Rattus norvegicus: one gene and its partners. The protein of the gene in region 3 interacts with the protein of the main gene of each other region in a biochemical or structural test. Links are inferred from orthologs where the notes say so. Each region holds a gene or a part of one and is shown on either strand. Other genes may lie near its edges.

Evidence for each region.
Region 1: of the proteins of Prkn (region 3) and Mfn1, one has a biochemical effect on the other in vitro, tested with the Homo sapiens proteins (3 studies listed by BioGRID). The link is inferred for Rattus norvegicus from reciprocal best matches to the Homo sapiens genes PRKN and MFN1.
Region 2: the proteins of Prkn (region 3) and Ube2z form a complex in vitro, tested with the Homo sapiens proteins (2 studies listed by BioGRID). The link is inferred for Rattus norvegicus from reciprocal best matches to the Homo sapiens genes PRKN and UBE2Z.

What each region holds. Positions count from the first base shown.
Region 1 is NC_086020.1:117,240,075-117,244,745, forward strand, and holds the start of Mfn1 (mitofusin-1), read left to right. Parts: upstream 1-1,683; 5' UTR 1,684-1,899; exon of another isoform or gene 1,900-2,076; intron 2,077-2,441; 5' UTR 2,442-2,470; intron 2,471-4,170; 5' UTR 4,171-4,177; coding exon 4,178-4,289; intron 4,290-4,671. UniProt on the Homo sapiens protein: Mitochondrial outer membrane GTPase that mediates mitochondrial clustering and fusion. Membrane clustering requires GTPase activity. It may involve a major rearrangement of the coiled coil domains.
Region 2 is NC_086028.1:81,503,152-81,507,722, reverse strand, and holds part of Ube2z (ubiquitin-conjugating enzyme E2 Z), read left to right. Parts: intron 1-1,519; coding exon 1,520-1,631; intron 1,632-3,747; coding exon 3,748-3,860; intron 3,861-4,571. UniProt on the Homo sapiens protein: Catalyzes the covalent attachment of ubiquitin to other proteins. Specific substrate for UBA6, not charged with ubiquitin by UBE1. May be involved in apoptosis regulation.
Region 3 is NC_086019.1:52,201,913-52,206,483, forward strand, and holds part of Prkn (E3 ubiquitin-protein ligase parkin), read right to left. Parts: intron 3,442-4,571; coding exon 3,278-3,441; intron 1-3,277. UniProt on the Homo sapiens protein: Functions within a multiprotein E3 ubiquitin ligase complex, catalyzing the covalent attachment of ubiquitin moieties onto substrate proteins. Substrates include SYT11 and VDAC1.

The DNA of each region.
Region 1 (4,671 bases), on a different chromosome or scaffold from region 3:
AGAAAGAGAGAGAGAGAGAGAGAGAGAGAGAGAGAGAGAGAGAGAGCGAGCGAGCAAGCATTAAGTGGAATCTCTTTCCACACAGTACCTACAGCAACCAAAGTAACCTCATGATTTGGGAGATTCAAGTTAGTGAGAGTTACAAAGGCAGACCTTGCCTCAGTGCAAACAAACATACCAAATTTTATTATTCTCCCTGCCAAAAGTTTTCCATTACACCTAAAACCATGTCTTGTGCATATAAACATTTAGAACGCTAGCCTTTAGCAGATTTCAGCAGAATTTCAAGTTTAAGGCTCATTTAGGCTAAGTACTGAGACCCTGATTTAAAAGTCAGACTTCTTATCTTAGCTTTTATTATTCTACACCTGCCTTCCTTCCAACATTTATTTCGCTCACCCTCATCCCTCATCTTTCCAACACTCCACCATGCTTGTCTTTTTTTTTTTTTTTTTTTTTTTTTTCCGGTGCTGGGGACCGAACCCAGGGCCTTGCGCTTGCTAGACAAGCGCTCTACCACTGAGCTAAATCCCCAACCCCTCAGAGCGGTCTGTGCTCTTTTTCTTTCTTCTTCTTTTTTTTTTTTTTTTTTTTTTGGAGCTGGGGACCGAACCCAGGGCCTTGCAAGCGCTCTACCACTGAGCTAAATCCCCAACCCGCAGTCTGTGCTCTTAACCGCTAAGCCATCTCTCCAGGCCATGCTTGTCTTTTATTTTATCCATCTTACCACTGTGCTTTCTATGTCTTTGGACAGTTTTTCTCCAGAGATTCCCAGTAATGGTCCTGGAAAGCCCCGAGAAATGACATCATCCTTTCAGAAAACACACACCTATTTGGCTCCTCATTTCTTATTTTTCTTCGGACACTCTATCCTCTTGCCCTGTTTTTTGTCCATAATAGTAAGCCCAGTCCAAAATGACCTCATTCACTGTGCATGCTCGATAGTTACCTATCCAACAGAACCACAGTTTTTATTTATCTAGCTCTTTCAGGTGCCTATCAGTGTCTTAAGCACTTTACACACTTTCCCACAACTCATAAGGTAGGCATTTTTTTAGTATTTTATAGATGAGGTACCTGCCGTTCACAGAGATGAAGGGGCTTCCCTTGCAAAAGCATCTCATTTGCTAACAAACTCCCAGGACACCTGCTGTGGAAGCTCTCCAGGAAAGTGGAACACAGAGTCTTTGGGCTTTACCCTTGATCAATCAATCAACGGTTTAACAAGATTCCCAGGTGATTCCTAACAAAGTTTAAATCATGGACAAATTAATTTTCTTAAGTAACACCTCTTACAGTAAGTAGAAACACACAGCTCTCTCCAGTAACCCCAGAAAACCAATCAAGACCAGACTTTTCCCTGTTGGCTTGATAAACAAGAATCTACGTGGTTTTGGGACGCCCCCTCCCCACTTCTCCCCGCTACACCCCAAGATAACCATGGGCATCTTTTCATACATGGCGCCTTTGAACTTTGAAGACTCTGAAGGGAAAATACTCTGAAGGGGAGGAGTTATAAGATGGAACAGAAAACCCAGTGATTAAGAGTGCCTGCCCAAAACAAACCTCGCCTTCTACCCTGAAGGAAAATGGCACTCGCAATATATGCAGTTCCGGTTGCGGAGCAACAGCCAATAGGAGATCCGAATCACCGGAAGTATCCGCCCCCAGCCCCTCCTTTGGGCTCCTCCCCGCTCTCCGGCGGACGAGACAGCCAGGGAACTGTGGCGGAGCAGTGGTTGCTGGGTGACAGTCGGGAGCTGGGACGGAATGAGTGACCGCTGGCGGGTGGCGACGCCCGGGGTGACCTTCGAGCTCCGGACAGGCGCAGCGCGAGCGCCCTGACGGCAGGGCCGGGCAAGAACGACCGGCGGCCAGCCTGTGGGAAGGCCTGTCCAGGTAGGAATCCAGCCGGCTGGGCAGGCTTACGGCCCACGCGGCTTCCTCTCCCCACGCACCTCCTCCGCGCCGTCAGTTCAGGATTCTGGAGGGAGCCACCCTCCTGATGACCTCGGCGCTACGTTTGCCGGCATTAGTGTGTGATCGTTTTTGGTGGCTTTTCATGGGAGCTTCCAGGTTGAACGTCTTTCACTTTAGATTTAACATTACTTTTAAGTTTGGGGACTTTGGCTTGAAGCCTTCATGCCTCCTTTAGGTCTTGACCCCGTAATTGTGACGAAAGCTGCTGCCTTCTTGATGCTTGTACTGTATTGTGACCTGGACATTTTATTTTCTTCTCTACACCTCTAACTGGGAAAGTTAATAACTTAGTTATGTTTTGAGATCTTGGCTTCCTCTGACTAACCCAGGTCCCTGAAGTCCTTAAGAGTCACATGCACACAGTTTAGCTAAACTAGTTTGGAAAATAAATTAGGAAATACAACCAAGATTTCTGTCACTAGCCTTTACCGATTTTACATTTATTATATTTACTTTTCCAGAACTGAAGATTGGGCCCCTCACATGCTAGGTAAGTGCCTCTATACCCCTAAACTCATTTCTAAACGTCTGGTTTTGAGACAGAATGGACTAAGAGACCCAGGCAAGCCTTGATCTCACTCTGTTGACTCTGTAGACTTGAATTTTCAGATTTTTCTGTGTTAGGCTCCTAAGTAACTGGTTACAGGCAAAGGGGGGGGGCAAATTTCATGCGTTTTAGTGGGAGATCACCTAAGAGTGGTCTTTTGTTTCTGACTAACATGGTTTCTATAACTAAGTAAATAATACCAAAATGTATTTGATCTATTTGGTCAGGTTAATTTTTTGCTATTAGGGAATTGAGACATGTCAGGCATGAACTAGCAAGTATCAGAATAAGTATGATTTTAAAATGTTTGTTTTTAGATTTTTTATGTGTATGTTTTTCCTGCATTTATGTATGTATGTTTAACCACAGTTCCTGCCCAGTGCCCTTGGAGGTCAGAATAGTGCATAAGATCCCCTGGAACTGGAGTTACAGGTGGTTGCAAGCTACGGTGTAGGTCCCATAAACCTGATTTAAATCCTGAAGAGCAACAAGTGTTCTTAACCCCTGAGACATCTGCCTAGCCCCAGAAACATGCACATTTCAAATGTTTTTGTTTTTTGTTTTTGTTTATTTTTGAGACAGGCTTTCTGGTTGTCCTGGAACTTTCTCTGTAGACCAGGGTGGCCTTGAACTCACAGAGATCCGCTGTCTCAGAATGCTGGGACTATGCGTGCATCACCATTGCCCACCACTGCCCTGTTTATCATATGGTTTTTTTTTTTGGTTTTTTTTTTTTTGGTTCTTTTTTTCGGAGCTGGGGACCGAACCAAGGGCCTTGTGCTTCCTAGGTAAGCGCTCTACCACTGAGCTAAATCCCCAGCCCCTATCATATGGTTTTTAAAATAACATTTGATTTTTGTGTGGAGGCGTTAGACTTTCACAGTTTGGCTGTATAGTCTTACTGGTTGAACCATTTTGAAGGATTCAGAGTTTTTTGTTTGCTTGGGCTTTTTTTTTCTTTTTTCTTTTTTTCTTAAAGATTTACTTAGATATAAGTACACTGTAGCTGTCTTCAGACGCACCAGAAGAGGGCATGGGATTCCATTACAGATGGTTGTGAGTCACCATGTGATTGCTGGGAATTGAACTCAGGACCTGTGGAAGAGCAGCCAGTGCTCTTACCTACTGAACCGGCTCTCCAGCCCTTGTTTGGGTTTTTTGTTTTGAACAAGGTTTACCAAGGCTGGCCTCCTTCAGTCTTGTCACTGCTGGGATTACAGACCTGGGACACCACACCTCCTTTACCATTCACCTACTTCCTTATTTTATGTATAGGGGTATTTTGGCTGCATGTATGTGCAACCAAGTTTTGGTGTACCATGTGTGTACCTGGTGTCTGTGGAGGTCAGAGGAGGATATCTGAACTCCTGGAACTAGAGTCCTAGACAGTTGTGAGCTGCCATGTGGGTGCTGGAATAGAGCTGGGTCTTGTAGAAGAGCAGCCAGTTCTCTTTAACTGTTGAACCACCTCTTCATGCCGAGCTTTGGTGATGAGGAAAGCCCTGCTATGTTATGTTGTCCAAGTAACCCTGGATTTCCTGGCTTGAGTGCACCTCCTCCCTCAGCCTGTCCAGTAGCTGAGACCCCAGGCATTTATCACCCGGAGGCTAATGACTGCTTTTCTAACCTTTTTCTCACCCTAGGTGCATAATGGCAGAAACCGTATCTCCACTGAAGCACTTCGTGCTGGCAAAGAAGGCCATCACTGCGATCTTCGGCCAGTTACTGGAGTTTGTTACTGAGGGCTCACATTTTGTTGAAGGTTGGTGCCTCTTAACATAGTAAGATTACTGTTGAAAATGTACACAAATGTTTTATTATTTCAACTTTAGTTCTTCATTTTACCTTTTCGAGATCAGGCTTGCCTTGAAATGGCCGTGTAGCTTCTAATCCTGATCCTCCTGCCTCTGCCTCCTGAGTGCTGTGTACACACGCAGGTGTGTGCCCTGCCCAGGTTTAATTGTGGAATTCACACTGCTGTATTCTGGGAAGGATGAGTGAGCGAAAGCATTTCACAGGTCAGAAAAGAGTGTGCTCTGTAATAGTGGAGGAGCCTTTACTCTTCCTAAATAAGTAGGTAAGTGAGGACTGCCCTCATTTTAAAGGCACAGTGAAGATAAGCAACTTGCTCAAGGTCACAGAGC
Region 2 (4,571 bases), on a different chromosome or scaffold from region 3:
TAGTAGGTTTCCCTCTGTAAGCTACTGTGAAGTCATTCTGGATACCAGCTCATCCAAGATGGTGGTTGAGGGAAAGCAGCAGAAGTTTGTTGCATGATAATGAAAGATCCACCCTGAAATAGAAATTTTACAGTTAAGAGTCATGGAGTAAGAAGGTTCTTAGGCAGTTTTAGTTGGCTCCATTAGCTTTTTGGCCCAATTCCCTCTCTTCATACCTAGAAACAACTGCTAGGGCCACTGCTGCTGAAATAAATGGAATGAGAACTAACCCTGTCGGTGTGAATTGCCACATGTAAGGGGGACAGCATGGGAGAGAGCGCTCTCTGGAGGTTTACTCCACACCTGTGACTTGGGTCTTCCTCAGGTGTAGAAGGGAAGGGCCATGGTTACTTAACTGAAGTAACCCAGTCGTGGCTCAGGCTGTGTTCTGTTTCCATCTCTCGTGCCATCTTGTTAATTAAATGAGCTAAAATAAATACCTGTCGGGGGTTGGGGATTTAGCTCAGTGGTAGAGCGCTTGCCTAGCGAGCGCAAGGCCCTGGGTTCAGTCCCAAGCTTCGGGAAAAAAAAAAAAAAATACCTGTCATGCATGGTAGGACAGATTCCTATAATAAGTTCAGGGATACTTGGTCTACTTAGCAAGTTCTAGGACAGCTAGGACTACATTAGTAACTCCCTACCTATAAATAAATACTGACACCTACCTCTAAATAAATAAAGGAAGGAAGGAAGGCAAGCATTGGCATTCAAGTGCTCCACTCTAATACCTAATGTGGTTTAACCAGGAGTGGTGTAGTATATTTCTCATCCCTGGCATTCAGAAGGCAGAGGCAGGAGGGTTGCTTTTAAGTTTAAGAATAGCCAAGGATGTATACCAAGACCCAGTCTTAAAAAATATGTGTGTATGTGTGGGATATTTTCCCTGGTGTTGTTTTCTATCTGATATTTTACATATTGTCAGACACTCCACATTCTGTAAACACCCCATCGTTTCTGTCTTAGCAGGGTTGTCGTAGTCAGAGAATTTGACTCTGCTTGTCTTGTTACAAAGCTGAATCTATAAACTTCAACATGTGTCCTCATAGGCCTCAGTCACCTTTATGCTTTTGACTAGCTGCTCTCCCTTCACCAACTCTGTTACCACCAGTAACTAATAAGTTCCTTGAAGTCACAGGTTAACATTTAGACGACCTTTAGAGTTATTTCCCTAACTTGGGTTCTTGTTTTGTTTGGTAGGATCACCTTCCTTGGTCACTGTTTATTTTCTAGATCAAAGAGCATCTTTTCAAAGTTGTAGTTCTTGCTTGCTCTCTGTTTTATTCTCATTTGATGAGAGAATTTAGGCATTCGCCTATTCTGGTGAATGAGGGTAAAACAGAGGCTGGGAATTTCCCAAGTGTTAATAGTGAAAGGGCAACTTGGGTGAGTCACTCACAAACGGTGGGGATGCTGCTGGCGTCAGGGTGATGCTGCACAGGGCTGCTCTCGGCATCACCTTCTCCCTCTGCTGTGTTTGCAGTACGTGGACTGGCCCCGCCTGGAGCCCAGCCCAGAGCATCTCTTCTGTGCTTATCTCCATCCAGTCCCTGATGACTGAGAATCCCTACCACAACGAGCCAGGCTTTGAACAGGTAAGGGCTGTTGGGCCTTGTGCTGAGACCTGCAGTATTGAGCTGTAGGTGCTCTGAGCTACCCTGGAGAGTCCTTTTCTGTTTTTCCACCTAGATAGCCTCCACATAATACTAGTATATAGAGAGGGAAAGGACATAAGTGCTCTTTATTTGCAAGAATTGCAGTATCAGCTGGGCCTGGTGAAGCACACCTTTAACCCCAGTCCTAGGGAGGCAGAAGCTGGTGGAGCTCTGAGGTTAAAGCTAGTGTAGTCTGTGTGGTGATATCCAAGCCAGCTAAGCCTCCATAGTGAGACCCTGCCTCAAAAAAGGGAAAAAAGAAGAAAAGAAAGAAAGGAAACAAACAAATCTTACAATAAAATTACTACATATTTAGCTTGGGTTAGCCAACTTAGTCGAAGTAGTATCATTTAGAAATCAGTTTTGAGGGTTGGGGATTTAGCTCAGTGGTAGAGCGCTTGCCTAGCAAGCTCAAGGCCCTGAGTTTGGTCCCCAGCTCCGGAAAAAAAAAAAAAAAAAAGAAATCAGTTTTGAGCCTATTTTGGGAATTTTTGATTTTTTTAATTTATTTTATGTATATGGGTAGTTTTTTCTATATCTATGTTTGTGTACCTCATGAGTGCCTGATGCCAAGGAAGTCAGAAGGGGGCATCAGGTCCCCTGGGACTGGAGTGAAGAGACATCAACAACCATGTGGGCCCTGAGAATCAAACCCTGGTCTTCTACAAGAGCAGCAGGTACCCTTAACTGATGAGCATCTCTGCAGCTCCATGCCAATGGGTTTTTAAGTGTGTCTGCATTCTGCAGTATGGCCTTAGTGTGCTCTGCAGTGACTGCTGCCTGAGGAGCTAGCTCCCTCCCCCGTATAATACCAAGGATCAAATATACGGAACTTAGCCGTGAAGTGCTTCCCTAACCCTTTGAGGTTTTCATTTTGAAACAGGTTCTGAGGAGTTGTATAGGTCAGTCTTGAATTCTCTATATTCCAAGCAGACTTGAGCTTCTTTTTTACGTAAGATTAGTTTTTGTTACTTGTACTTGAGTGTGTTGTATGGTATGCCTGTGTGCACATGTGCACATGGCATGGAAGCTAGAAGAGTTGTAGAGGGTTATGAGCTGACAGGTATGGGTGCTGGGGTCCAAACTTGGGTCCTCTGGAAGTCTTTGTAACCACTGAGTCATCTCTCTGGTCTCCTAGACCTTGAACTTTAGATCCCCTTGCTTCAGTCTCTCCAGATGGTGGGGATCACAGGCCTGTGTCACCAGGTCTTTCTCTAGCTGTCTATTATTTTGGAGATAGGATGTGTAATTATTTACATAGTTAGAGTAGCTAGTCATTAGTTAAGACAGGGATATTCTAGTTGGCACTGCAAAGGGCATAGGAAATACACATGGCTATATGCCAGGCTGCGCTAGTCCTGTATATTATACATTGTTTAGTATTCATGCTAACTATAAGGTAAATATTGTCCTAATTTTCAGGTGAGGAAATAGAGGTTTTCTTTTTCTTTGTTTTGTTTTTGTTTTATTTCTTTTTTTCCCAGATGGTCTCATGTAGCCCAGGCTTAACGTGTGTGTGGTGTGTGTGTGTGTGTGTGTGTGTGTGTGTGTGTGTCTATGTGTGTGTGTGTGTGTCTGTGTATGTTATGCACATGCATGCTTGGGATAGAACCCTGGAGCCAAAGTGCCTTATAACTTATTTGCATCTGTTTAGCCCAGCTTTTGACTCTATGTTTATTTGGAGTGTTAAAGATTGTTCCTTTGATAAGTTTACAGAGATAGAGGAACCTACAGAGAAGAAAGAAATTAACCAGGCAGCTCCAGAATTGTTCCCCATTAATCTTTACTTAATAAGTCTTTTATTGAGACGCAGAATAATCTGATGGATCGTTTGCTGATTAGTTATTTGACCTATAATATAATAGAATGGGTGTTTTTATGTGTAGGGAGGTCAGGGGTCCACGGCTTAGCCGTCTTGGATTTACAATGGGAAAGGCATTCTTTTCATTCTTTCACTGTATATGTTTGGGTCATGTACTCTGTATTAACCCTGAAGTATCTTTGCACTGCTTTTCTCTTTGACTAAATGGGTACTATGGCGTCTGTCAAATTACAGGAAAGACATCCAGGAGACAGCAAAAACTATAATGAATGTATCCGGCATGAGACCATCAGAGTTGCAGTCTGTGACATGATGGAGGGCAAGTGCCCCTGCCCTGAACCCCTACGGTATGTGCCCAGAGGACCCACTAAGTGTTTGTCCATTTCGGAAACTTGGTTTGCGTCTATGAGGACCTTTGTATCAGAGTCTGTTGTCAAGAAAGGTAGAAAAAAAGAGAAAGATGGATTTTTTTTTTTTCTTTTCTATTTTTTGGAGCTGGGGACCGAACTCAGGGCCTTGCGCTTGCTAGGCAAGCGCTCTACCACTGAGCTAAATCCCCAACCTGGATTTTTTTTTTTTTTAATTCCTTTTTTTATTTGCTTGTGGTTTTTTGTTGTTTTGTTTTGAGGCAGGGTTTCAGTATGTATGTAGCCCTGGCTGTCCTGGAACTTACTATGTAGACCAGGCTAGCCTTCAGTTCACAGAGATCTAGATGCCTCTGCCTTCTGAGTTCTGGGATTAAAGGTATACACCACCACACCTGGCTCCAGACCTACAGTCTTTTACGCTGGCTGGGCAAGCACTTCACCACCAAGCCCCAAGCTTTTGTTCTCTTACCTGATACTCCTTGGGTTGTGTGTTTCGCACATTCACCTGTGGGTGGGTGCGTAGCAGCCAGAGGCCAGCATTGACATCTTCCTCTATTCTCTAGCTTTTGAGATGGGGGTTTTTGTTTTGTTTTAATTTTAATTTATTTATTTATTTTTCTTTCCTTTTTAAGATTTATTTATATATTTTATGTATATGAGTACAATGTAGCTGCCTTCAGACACACCAGA
Region 3 (4,571 bases):
TGCAAGAGCTGACAGGAACTCTTAGGGAAGGAAGAAAATGGGGCTTTTTCTGTTTGTTATAGTGGGGAAATAGAGCACACATACATGCACACATACACAGCATAGCATGACGCTTGCACTGTTACTGCTACCTCATCTCTAGCTTATTTTACACGCATGGATTATGATGTCTGAGGGGAGTCTTGAGATGATCTAAGAACGGCCATCAGGATACCCACAGTTAACAATGACACACATTTGTAAACGTAGGCTTATACATAACCCTTTCACATGAACGGACACATTCCTTTCCTTACAAAGTTTCAGCAAGACTGCAGGGCTCAGTTATTTCTGCCTTTAAAATGAGCAATGTGAGACAAAGAAGCCAAATTCTCCAATGTGTATCCTGTGTGTTAACATCCATTTGCCTTGATTTGTTACATTAAAAACTGGACACAATCTAAAGATTTAATAGGTAGATGAAGATATCAACACTGTTAGAATACCATGCATGTGCTTAGCATGATATTATGTTAAGGAAAACAGTCTTAATGGATGCAAAATCGACTCACACTCATTATGACTTGACGCAAGTGTCAGCCATTCATAAAGGCAGGGGCTAGTCCATGTGGCCGAGCTTGATAGACAGCATTTCTCCTCTGAGAACTCTCCAAGTATGTCTGCTTCCTTTCAGTGATAAGTGGAGCTGAACATATTACAGAGTCCTCTGTCACTTTCACCAAATTCCCATTGCTTATAACAGAAATTAAAAAAAAAAAAACTTTGTGTCTATGTGTACAGTGTTTATATGCACAAACACATTCGTGTGTGTGTGTGTGTGTGTGTGTGTGTGTGGACAAGCACACATGTCAGTTCCCACCTTCACTGAATTTGCGGCAGGGTGTCTTGTTTACTGCTGCCAGGCTAGCTGCCCTGTTAGCTTCTGATGTCCCCTTAAGAGCACTGGAATTACAAGCAACTGTATAGGGCTATCGCTACGTCAGGCTTAAAGTGGGTTCTGGGATCTGAATTCAGGTTTTTGTGTTTCTGTGACAACCTTTGTCACTGAATGATCCCCTCAGCCCCTAAGAACAGCTATGTTCTGCTTTTATGTTTTAAGTCTCGGAATTTAGAGTCTGTAGGAAAGCCTCAAGAGTGCCAGTTGGGTGGACTGTACTTCCTGACACGCGTCCTTGTCACCGAAATGAGGATACTCATACTGCTTTGTGCTCAGCCCTTGGTGATTGAATCTATTTCACTTGCTGTAAAAGTATTTCTCTCTGGGCAACTATCTGTGAATATTAAATTTGCACCCTACATCCAGACCCAGGTTCCAACGGTTAGTTAAATATCTCTCCATAAATATCCACTCCTCATAAACTCTCAGCACCCCTGGAAATTCAGCTCCCTTCCCATGGCGTTTTATGGAATCCCGTTCACTGCAGGGCCAGGTCTGTCAGGATTCTGTCAAATGCCCTGCCGACTCCATCTTTCCCTCTGTCTTCAGTATCGCCTCCAGCTTCCGGAAGGACGAAGCCCATCTTCCCTCCCGAGGCTGTGGAGGGTGCTGTCCTTCCACCAGAGGAATCCTCATCTGGATTCAGTCCATTTGGGAGCTCTGTCCTGGTACCTTCCCAGTCTGCACCTTTGAAACATCACGATATCTATGGGCTATACAGCATTAACTATGCATAGCATGTGCGTACTATAGGCTGGACCTCATGGCACCTCAATGATTTCATCCTATGTGGTGCTGGCAGACAGTTTGATCTCGAATTCCTTTACTTTAGAGCCCTAAGCGGGTAAAGAGCAGACTTCTGGAATGAACTCCTTTTCACCCAAGCCCCTGAGAAGCTCTGAGCACTGGAAGCTCTAAAAGTGTGAACCAAGCTAATACTGTTGAAACAATGCATAGATTTTTATAAAAATCAGTCCCCCACAGCAGTTAATCTTACTGAATAAGGAACAGCTAACTGTTACACTCGCCCCACCTTGTACAGGCGAAGGGGCTTTAAAATCTAATGGTTCTCATAATAAAGTCTATCTGGACTCAAGAAACAGCTTTAGAACCATTTATTTGAGAAGGAGACCACTTAGGTTTAGAAGTTGGCAGGAATGGCAGAAAGCTTTTTAGTTGACTGAAATAAAAAACAAAATCAAAACACTTCTTAGCACAGGCACTTCCCTTATGAAAACAAATAGCAGGAAAGCAAGGCACAGCAGTTTCTGCACAATGGGCGTGAGTCCTACTGCCACCAGCGGGGGCAGGGAGAATAGCAGAAGTGATTTGCATTTCTATAGTTTCTTTGTACACCCACATTCCAAAAAGCTTTTCACAAAGCAGCGAACACCTCAGTCCACAAGAGGACTGACGGGACTAGGCAGTCTGAGGTCTGAATACAACACAGATCCCCATCCAACTGGGAGCAGGGGCTCAATTCCACCATACACCGAGAGGAGGGAACGAGCTTTTCCCTGCTTCTAATCACTTGAGTAAATGTGGCCATTTCTGCTGAACTTCCCTCCAAAACACTCACTGTTCTCTCATTCTAGGCAACCGGCCTGCGCATCGATTGCTAACCAGTTCCTTGGATGCCTGCAAAACTCATTTCTCCAAATGTACAAGATGCCATAAAGAAGAGGGTTTCCATGGCACAGCAGGGGCCAGATACACAGGAAGCAGAACCCCATGGTTCACTTGGTTCTGTATCGGGGTGTAGGCCAGGGATAACTCTGTATATGCTTGGAGATACGAAGATGGACTTTTGCTGTGTAATTTCCAGGCTGCCTATCCACCGCTCAGAGCCCTCGGCAAATGGGGCCCTGGGCCAGTGTCTGCTGTAGTCCAGGCAGCAGCTGTGAGTGTCCTCCAGGGGTCACAGTCGGGTTGTAAATCCCTCACAGAGCTTGGGCTGAGCAGCCTTATAGGGAACAATTTATTTGAATCCTTCTTCATTAAGATTCAAATGGAATAAGGAAGGTAAAAATTGAACAGACCCAGAAATTGTGCCTTCCTGCTCCCTCAGTCAGTAAACATTTATTCACTAAGCCGAGCGCCTGGCTTCTTTCTCCCCCTCTTGGCTCACTCACACTTGTTCCTCCAGTCCTTCCTGCATACTGTTTTAATGCATAATTAAGAAGGTCAGAATTAATGAAGCCGTGTGGAGTAAAGTTCAAGGAATCCCCAGGCACTATTTATTCTATTAGATCTCAGGCATGAATGTCAGATTGGCAGCATAAACTGCAAGGGCCTTGGCCCTGGCTACATCCCAGGGACCACCCACCCAGGGAGACTCACCTGTACTGTCAGGTGATTCTGCAGCTCCTTCCCAGCAAAAATCACTCGCAGCTGGTCAGCTGGAACCCCCTGTCGCTTAGCAACCACTTCCTTGAGCTGGAAGATGCTGGTGTCAGAATCGACCTCCACTGGGAAGCCATAGCTGGAGTTGAACCTGACAAACACTAGACAAGACCAGGGGCAGAGAGAGAAGAAAGAACATTACTCCAAGCCTTTAATGGCCAGTGAAATGTCTCTGAAGCCTCTTGCCCCTCACCTGCCCTCCAGTGAATGACAAAAATTTTCTCTCATTTATAACAGAGAAGTTTATTCTATAGAGCAATAGTTAGAAAAAAAAAAAACAAAAAACAGAAACAAAAACAGTTTTCCCAAGGTGTTTCCTGCTTATACCCTGGCCAGTGACCTGCAAACCAAGACTGCTTTGTGCCTTTCACAGTCCTTCTGGAACAGAGGGAATCAAGCGGAGAATTTGCTTGATTGGAATCTCGAGATTCCCATGAGTGTATAGAATATTCTGCTCCAACAGACTGAACAAATGCTCATTCCCTCCACAGAGTCCACTGCATTAAACTCAAAGGCAGAATGTGGCTGCCCCAGAAAGAAATGTTAGAAATGGAAGGCACTATGCAGACAGCTGAAGAGAGCATGGGCCCTATGATAGGACGCTGGGCTCTGTGAAAGAACTCCAGGCAAGGCTTTGAGTCTAGGTTCTGTGAAGGCCTCTGCTCACTGTGTAAGGAATTTGCACCCTGTGTTCTTAGTTCACAGGTCACAGTGGATTTCTAAAGAGATCTTGAAGTGACATCATCTCTGCTGTAGCCACCACTCTCTTCATTAGGCTCTGGCTAGATACCATGATGTCTCCCACAGTGTCTTCTCATTCCCCTTGTCAAACCATATATAGCATTTCTTCCATTTGCCTGCTGTTTCCAACTATCTGCCTTTTTACCCCTCCCCCATTGCCCTCTCATTTACTCCTCAAATAAAGGGAGCCCTCACTGAGTACCACCCCACCCTGAGATATCTAGTCTAGTCCCAGCAGGTCTAAGCACATTCTCTCCCATTGAGGCCCAACAATGAGGCAGTCCAGGTAGGGGAAAGGGGACCTAATGGCAGGGAACAGAGATGGAGATAACCCCCCACCTTCCACTTGTTAGGGGACCCACATGACTACTCCATATCAGGCTCTTACTGTCTAGTCTCTTGAGCCAGGTGGGGTAGTGCATGTCTTTAATCTCAATACTCCAGAGCAGAGCAGCTGGATCTCTGTGAGTTCTAGGCCAGACTGCTCTAT